Linked DNA regions of Drosophila melanogaster. The protein of the gene in region 1 interacts with the protein of each later gene in a pairwise test. Each region holds a gene or a part of one and is shown in the gene's direction. Other genes may lie near its edges. The genes, in order: ND-20 and CG14053.

Region 1 (3,760 bases):
ACTATTAATTTCATTCAGAATGAGCGCTTTGTTGTGAATGGATCGCATGATGTGAACAAGTTGCAGGATTTGTTGGATGGTTTTATTCGCAAGTTTGTGTTATGCCCCGAGTGCGACAATCCGGAGACCAATTTAACTGTGTCGGCCAAAAACCAGACCATTTCGCAGTCTTGCAAGGCATGCGGCTTCCATGGTCTGCTCAAGGTTAACCATAAAGTGAACACATTCATTGTGAAGAACCCCCCGTCATTGAATCCGGCCGCCCAAGGATCATCGCTAACCGAGGGCAAACGCTCGAGGAAACAGAAGCAGAAGAACGATAACGCCGATGGCTCCATGACCAATAACTCTTTGGCCAACAACTCTGGCGGTGAATCAGATGGCGGCAACGGCACAAATCAGGCTAGCCAAACTGAGGCCGAGATTAGCGCAGCTATTCCGGAGAAAACAGCCAAGGATGACGACGATGAGGGATGGAGTGTCGATGTTTCGAAGGTACGTTGTTTAATCCGTATATACTCGCAATTAGCTTAAAGAGCTATTCATATGTATATTACTACTCCACCCCGGTAGGAGGCTATTCGTGCTCGTTTGCAAGATCTGACTGATGGTGCTAAGGGTATGACTATTTCGGATGACTATGATAAAACTGAAAAGGAGCGCATTGATATTTTCTACGAGTTGGTTAAGGACAAGCGGGACAAGAAGCAATTGGATGATGTGCAAACTCACAAGGAGCTGGTGATTGAAGCCGAACGCTTGGATATTATTAACAAGGCTCCATTGGTTCTCGCCGAGCTGCTTTTCACTGAAAACATCATCAAGGACGTGCAGAAGAATCGCCCTTTGCTTCTTCGCTTCACCCTCAATAATCCAAAAGCACAGCGCTATCTAATTGGTGGAGTGGAGCAAACTGTAGAGCTGCATAAGGGTATATTGATGAGCAAGGTTGCTGGAATCTTCAAATTGTTTTATGATCTGGACATACTCGATGAGGCCGTCATACTGGAGTGGGCACAGAAGGTTAGCAAACGACATGTCTCGAAAAATATTGCTGCCGAAATACACGAGAAAGCTATGCCATTCGTTCTCTGGCTGAAGAATGCCGAGGAAGAGTCCTCCGAAAGTGAGGAGGAGGAGGACGATGAATCCGAGGAGGATAACTACGTTTCCAGTGCCGGCCAACGTGGCGGTCAACGGGTCGTCCAACGCGGAATTCCACGCGCTGTTGCAGGCGACGAGGATGACGAGGACGACGTGAACATCGACGATATCTAAAAGGAATCAAAAAGAGAACAGCTACCCTAATCCAACCAGTAATATTTTAAAAGGGGGAAAATCAAGCGAGCAAGCATAATCTACAATTCAAACTGAAATATAAATTAGCGAGTTAAATCAACATGTGGTTTTTTTTATCTTTAGTTCTTAAGAGTGCTAATCGTATTTTGAGTCGTCGCTTTACTACCATTCAATTGTTTGCATAACATTTCCCAAGCCGCTGTAACAATAGAATTACACCAACATATTACAAAATAAAGCAAACAAAAACATTAATAACTACTTTTTTACTTGCCTTTTGGTCAGCTTAAGCTATGACCTTCAAGCAAGTTGATTTTTTTAGCCAACCATTGCGTTCATGTGGGAAAAGGGCATAAAGTTCATGCTGCCGCAAGTGATGTGCTTGTGTGAGAATAGGATATCTAAAGTAAATTCGTATTTTATAGTATATTTTCCTGGTGCATTTGGTATTTTAGTTAGTAGTTCGGCGGCGGTCACATCATACGCATCCCCTATAAATCGAAATAAGTTGAAGTTACATAAATAGGTATTAAATGTTTAAATGCCCAGTCCTAGTATAACTACAGATTTACTTTAGCAGGATCAACATGCTGCGTTCGGCGATGATGTCATCGACCCTGTCCCGGGCTCTCCAAAAGGCGACTCAGACACCGAATGCGTCGATTTCGGCGCTGCCCGCTCTGAATTTGGCCCTGGTGCGCCAACAACAAACGCTTCCAGTTGCCGAAGTGGCCCAAAATCTGCCCAAGAAGGGCTACTCTCCGTTCGGCACCAAACAGTCCTCCGTTGCGGAGTGGTCACTGGCCAGACTGGACGATCTGCTCAACTGGGGTCGCAAGGGCTCGATCTGGCCACTGACTTTCGGTTTGGCCTGCTGTGCCGTCGAAATGATGCACATCGCTGCTCCGCGTTACGACATGGATCGATATGGTGTTGTGTTCCGTGCATCTCCACGTCAGGCCGATGTCATCATCGTCGCTGGCACGCTGACCAACAAAATGGCACCGGCCCTGCGAAAGGTCTACGACCAAATGCCCGAGCCACGTTGGGTCATCTCCATGGGCAGCTGTGCCAACGGCGGCGGCTACTACCATTACTCGTACTCCGTCGTCCGTGGCTGCGATAGGATAATCCCCGTCGACATATACGTACCCGGTTGTCCGCCAACCGCCGAGGCGCTCATGTACGGCGTTTTGCAGCTGCAGAAGAAGGTTAAGCGGATGAAGACGCTCCAGATGTGGTATAGGAAGTAAGGCAACGATCGGAACTTATATTTAAAATGTGAAACATCAAACGACATACGATTTTGCGAACAGAAATCATATTAAATATCGTTCTGTTAACGTTCAGTTGTTGTATACATTGTTTGTTGGATCACGAGGATATTGCAAATAAATGCCTTTCGATATAAATACAAACATTCAAGCTGTGCTTCTGTATCCAAACGTCAGCTTGAATCGTACGTGTGTTTGCCAACGGTCGTAATGAAAATCGTGAATTCGAAAAAAGTTTTGTTTCCCTTCAAAATGAGCGTGAAGTTAACGGCTCCTTCCTCTTTTTTTTATCGTGAATTGTATACACAACCATATCATTTAGTTGTCATAGAAACGATCGCACCAACCACAGGACAATCTGCTGTTTTTACTTAATTTTTCTGTATTCATTTCAAGGTCCTGACGTTTTCGGGACACAAAGTGCAAGAATATAAGCTCAGTTTAAAGTGTTTAAAATAGTTATATTTTTTAATTGGCAGATTTTTTTTTAACGCAACTGCAGAGTAAGCAAACCCTTAAAATACAATTATTCATGCTAACGTCCCAATAAACCCAACGAAAAATACAAAAAGAAATAAATATTTGTATAATTTACATATGCAATATAATTTGACTAGCCATTAACTAGTCTTGTGAATTCTGCCCAAGACTAATCTCCCCCATTTCGGTACTGGAAAGGCTTGGCGACAAGGTCGTGGACCTGGAGTTGCAAGCATTCTCATCCAGATTATAGTAATTCACTATTCGCTGTGGTGGTCGGTTGGAGATGACCTCTACGATTTGATTCACAACCCATTTGGTCAATTTGATGACGGCCACGTGTGCCGCAAACTGCAGGATCATGGCTCCAAAGCCCTTGTAGAGGCCACTAACTCCCTCGGAGACAATCGTTGTCTGATAGCAATCGACGACTCCTTGATAGTTTGTTAGAATGGGTACGACATCGTAGCCATTGTCGAGGTTGTCGATTATAGTTCGTGTTCCCTGCAATTGCAGACGGTGTAGAATCGTTTCGAACGGGAAGAACATGACCTCAGTGGTTATGATAGCAATAAGGCTGGCATAGATGTCCGCATTCTGTTGTTCCAGCGTGGTGTCCTGATACTTTCCACCCTGGCCGTCCTGGGAATTCTTTATACGAAGCCGCATTATGCGTGAGGACACGCCCCGTATCACGAGATTAAACA
Region 2 (4,900 bases), about 14 Mb from region 1:
CGTTTGCGGTCACGGATTTGTAATTATTGCGGCCTTGGGCTTACTTTGTGCTCACTTCCCATTCGGAATCTCATGCCCACAACCTCTCATCAATCACCTCCAGCTAACCAGGCTATTGAACCTGGCCAGGGAAAGATACTGACCCACTAACCGGATTCTACGGCTTGGGAAATTAATGACAATTAATTTTATTATTAATAAAATTTTATTAACGTGCTCTAAATTGATCCTGTGGACTTCTGCAGGAAACTAACTTCTCGCCATACACTGCTGTATCAACTTGAACTTGACGAGCAGATTAAATTCGAAGAATTTAGTTTCACTGTTTGATATCCCCACTTCACCCGGGATCACGATCAATCTTTCCCAACGATCTTGTCCACACAGTCGTAAACGCAAGTCTCGCATTTAGTCAACATCAATATCAGGGAGCTATCAATATCGATCACGGCCACCTGGCGAGCGATAAAGGAGGTGGGGAGCAATGAATGCACTTCTGTTCTTTTTCTCCCACGTTCTGGGTCTGCAGGCGCGCCAAGTGAGAAAGAGAAATCCGAAAAAGCCGAAAGTATAGAAACGATCTGTTTAAAAATAGTTTCGACGAAATGCATGCATTCTCGGCATTTGAATGGCTTTCCGACTCCAGGCGATGGCGCTTCGCTTCTGGAGGATTGGATCGGTGTGATTATCGGAGATCGGTGATCCGATCGGATGTACAAGATCACACATATTTAAGAGTCTGGTCGCTAGCCCAGCGATAGTTACAATCACCTTATCTGATCCAGGCGACTTACCTTTCGCCTGTTATTTGGTAATTAACTTGTTGCTGCCTGCACTCTTTGGCTTTTTTCCCTTCGATTGCTTCACTTTACTGCCGCAGTGTGCGAATTTACGACTTTGTTGACAGTTTGTGTTCTTCGCGTTACAATTGCAGTTGTCCAATCGTCGAGATTACGGATTGAACGGGGCGTCGAGTGTTCAATAAAACTGAATGAATGCGATTTCGATCGCGTCGCACTTTGACTGCGGTGCTTGACGTACAGCGTCCTTAGCAACTGGCCACACTCGATATGTCCTTGCGGTGAATGCACACTCGGTCACACTGAACGGCAATAATGGTGCTTCTAACACTGACTCCCGGCTTTGCTTTCCCTTTCCCGATGGCTTCACTGGCTTCCAAATCGCGGGAGCGAGTATTACTTTTTGGCGAGACGCAACCGATGTCGCTGTCAGCAGGGCAGGCGACGAATTAAATTAAATGCGAGCCGTGTAAGAGCAGAACGCCGAGCGCCGAGCAGCCGAAGAAGGAACGGCAGCAAAGACAAGCAAACAGCGAAGCACTCTCCTCTCCAGGCCTCTCGCACTGCTCCCTCGCTCCTTATCAGTGGTCAGCCCCAAAGAGCGCGCATGGAGAACTCTGGGCAGGAGTGGGAGCGGGAGAGGGAGAGCGCCGCCAAGTGATCGGACCCAATCTGCTGTGAATTATAGGCACCTTATCAGTTTATAATATTTCGTACATGTTTCGTGCTTCCAATTGTGTTGTCTGCATGCAAATAACACGGCACTTTCGGGCGGCAGCGGGGGGCCTCGGGGGTGGTCTCGATTGCTTACGCCTTTCTGGCTTAGTGTTAAATATTAATTAACAAATTTGCTCGAGTTGAACTGTGCGTAAATCGAAATCACAACGGCCATAAAAAGCGAATACAGCCTGTTTAGACCCACACTGAGCACTATTATACTCTATTCCAAGTCGAACCCCACTTCTTATTTCCTTTTTGCTTAGAAATGAATTTATTTTACAGTGCACACGGATAAACAGTTATTTCCATCGCCTGCATTTCGAATTTTATCCGCTGCAGAAGATTGCAGCACAGTATGGCAAACCCTATTACTTTTTATGTTTTCAAAACATTTTTTTTGTTTTTACCTATTCAAATTCTGCAATATTCATCCAGTCAGCCCATCATTTTTGTATTTCCCCTGCAATCGCAATCGAACTTTGCCCATGCAGCCTTACTGCAGCTCAAATTACAAATCGATTAGGCTCGCGTGCCATCCAAGCTGCAGCCAAAAGAAGTGCATTATCAAGGTCGGCGATGAGACGGCGAGTTCCCCGCGGGCCACAGCGAATGTCTGATGCTCTACACGGGCTTGGTGGAACGGTACATACAGCTCGGCCTCGTGAGGAGTCACGCAGTCAGCGAGCATGGGAAGTCAGACTTGACCGCGCTTCGCACTGATCGCATAATTTGCTGTACAAATAGTGATTTCTAATGCTAAAAATACACACCAGACCCAAGACCAGGCTGACCAGGCTGACTAGACTGGGCCTTCGGTCACAGGTAGGCCATCCCAGGTGAGTTGGTCGACCAACCCGTGATCCTATATACACGCCCGTCGGCTCCTGCCCTCCCAAACCCTTTCCCGCTCCGCGTTTATGGTTGTCGTAATGCGACAATATTGATAGCCGATTATGCCAGGCCATTGATAACGCCCTCGCTGGGAGGGGTGATTGCGGGAGGGGGACCGGGAACGGGAATGGTGGTGGGAATCAATTCCGCATAGTTCGTCCGAGGGTGGTCATGCCACGCCCCATTTCTAGTTGATAAGATAGTGGAGTCCAGGCCGGATGAAATGGAGCGCTGCTGCAGGCTTGACTTGCCGCAAGGAGCGAATTGGCGCCGCAGCAGGAACTGGAACAGGAACCTATGTACATATATACCCGGTTGCCAAGTGTCAGGCGCCTCAAGCTCCATGTTCATTCAAGCAAGCATATTTCACACACTACGGAAGCCCGGAATATATTTCCTTCTATCCGTAAAACTAAAAAAAAAAAACTAAAAAAAGTATATATTTTCTAGTAATGGACATCTCCCAATCGGACGACCTATACGAATGCGGAGTGGAGAGGGAAAGGGAGACTGTCCATCAGTCATCGCGCACCGTGAGAGATCCCCTTCAGGTGTTCCATTGGATAGCGTCTTTGGATGTGGCCCAGCTGGAGGACGAGACACCGCCCCCCAGTTTCTACTTCGATTTGCTGGAGACAAATGACGTCGAACTGGACTGCAGTGTTTACAGCGGAAAGCTTCTTGTAACGCTCGGTAGTCAGACAGATGTGTCGCAGCCAGAAGTTTCGCAGGAGTATGCAGACAACGCACTGGCGGTGGAACCAACAGATCTGAAAATATCAATACCTGAAGATGCGACAGCATGCCCATGTCATGCCGCATCTGATGATGAAGTATCAATTACAATATTTGTAGAAAGCGAAACTGAACCGGAACCACGTGGGAACTCCGAGCATCAACCAAGTCGCTTTTCGTTTTTTGGCATGTTGCTAAAGGCGGTCGTGGCACTGTCCGTGGTGAACGCCCTTTATGTTCTGTGGACGATCGGCTTTGAGGCCTTCAAGAACCGCGTATGGCAGTCATCTTCTGTGAATATGCCACCGCCTCGGACTACATCGATCAGGGAGACGCGTGCTTCGCTGCCCGAGAGCATTTGGCGAAGTGTTGAAGCTAAATTGGCTAGCCTGCGAGCCCGCTTGAACTAAGTCCGCTCCTGGCTGTCGGACTTTGTTAGTTTCAGCTTGGTTATTTATAAACCCATCCCGCTATTTTTACGCCTATGGCACCAGTTGCTGTTCCAGTCGATTCCTTCGCCGTCGACGACCACTGTTTGCTGTTGTTCTCGTTGCCGGCGGCGTTAGAGATTACGAGTAACACGGACTGCCCGAAAATACGGATTTCTGTTGTTGTGTACCCGGGACAACAACAACTATCCGGCCCAGCGATAAGCGTCGGAATCAACACGAATCTCGGTCAATAGCTCACCGATCCATAGCCAAATAAACGCCAAGCTGAGTCTCCAGTTCAAATCGAAATTTCTCGCTCTCCCTTGTGCCCTGCCTAAAATATTCCATGGCGCTGGTTATGCTACACCACCTAATCCGCGCATCCGTGGGACAATGATCCCGAATCGCCTTATCGGAACCAAGCACCTTTCGCCCATTGTCGCCTAATAGGTGCATTCACTCGCCTCCTCCCCAGGCGAAACGGAACTCGATCCCGACTAGCGTCATCTCTCTGGGCACTGCTACTATCTGATCACACCTGGCAATTGCTGGGGTCGTCGTGAAAGGCATTTAGTTCTTAACTAACCAAAAAAGCTCTTTTATGTATGACTCGAAACGATCTCTTTTTAGATATTTAACAATTACATAAAATCCAATAGTTTGAAAATTTGGATACGAATTCATTCAATTAGTTTTATTTGTATGGCAAAAATGTTTTTTTTTTGTCGAAAAATTGGGAAAGAAAACCTGTCCAAGAATGTCTAGTGCTTTAAGGGAATTCTGGCATAACTCGGCCAAAAACGGCCAAAAATCAATTATAATTACTGTTTTGTGAAGCTAATGGCCAAAGCCAACGATCCTTATCACTTTTTAAATGGTTTTGGGAAAAAAAATTTTTTTGCCAATTTTCGGATTTTTTTAGAAGGGGTAACATCATTAAAATTTGCGAAAAATGTTCAAAAATTAAAAATCGAAAATTTAAATGCTAATCGATTGGAAATTTAATTACGACTTCACAGAGGTATGGCATTCCGTGTTCGGTCCATAATTTCGTTTGTTTTGAACAAAATACTGAGTTTTTATGGCGGAAAATCTGAATTAAATTGAATTACCTAACTAGCAGGTGGGTCTCATCCAACTGATAGCCATCTCCGTGCATTTGTATAGCCTTCGTAGGCAAATTACGGTCTGGCCTCTTGCCTAGTACCAACTATTGATTTAATTGCAGCCGACGGCCAAGGAAGCGCGGACGTCAACGTCAACCGGGGCGAAAAGTCGGAAAATGAGCTGCCAGGAAAAGCGCAAGGCATGGGCATAGTGTGC

Evidence for each region.
Region 2: the proteins of ND-20 (region 1) and CG14053 interact in a two-hybrid assay, tested with the Drosophila melanogaster proteins (one large-scale study listed by BioGRID).

Annotation. Positions count from the first base shown.
Region 1 is NC_004354.4:15,984,803-15,988,562, reverse strand, and holds ND-20 (NADH dehydrogenase (ubiquinone) 20 kDa subunit), read left to right. Parts: upstream 1-1,754; 5' UTR 1,755-1,825; exon of another isoform or gene 1,826-1,879; 5' UTR 1,880-1,886; coding exon 1,887-2,552; 3' UTR 2,553-3,090; downstream 3,091-3,760. Other genes in the region: eIF5 (eukaryotic translation initiation factor 5), read left to right, coding at 19-495, 574-1,278; Slc25A46a (solute carrier family 25 member 46a), read right to left, coding at 3,198-3,760.
Region 2 is NC_004354.4:2,190,934-2,195,833, reverse strand, and holds CG14053 (uncharacterized protein), read left to right. Parts: upstream 1-1,924; 5' UTR 1,925-2,356; intron 2,357-2,774; exon of another isoform or gene 2,775-2,861; 5' UTR 2,862-2,863; coding exon 2,864-3,556; 3' UTR 3,557-4,195; downstream 4,196-4,900.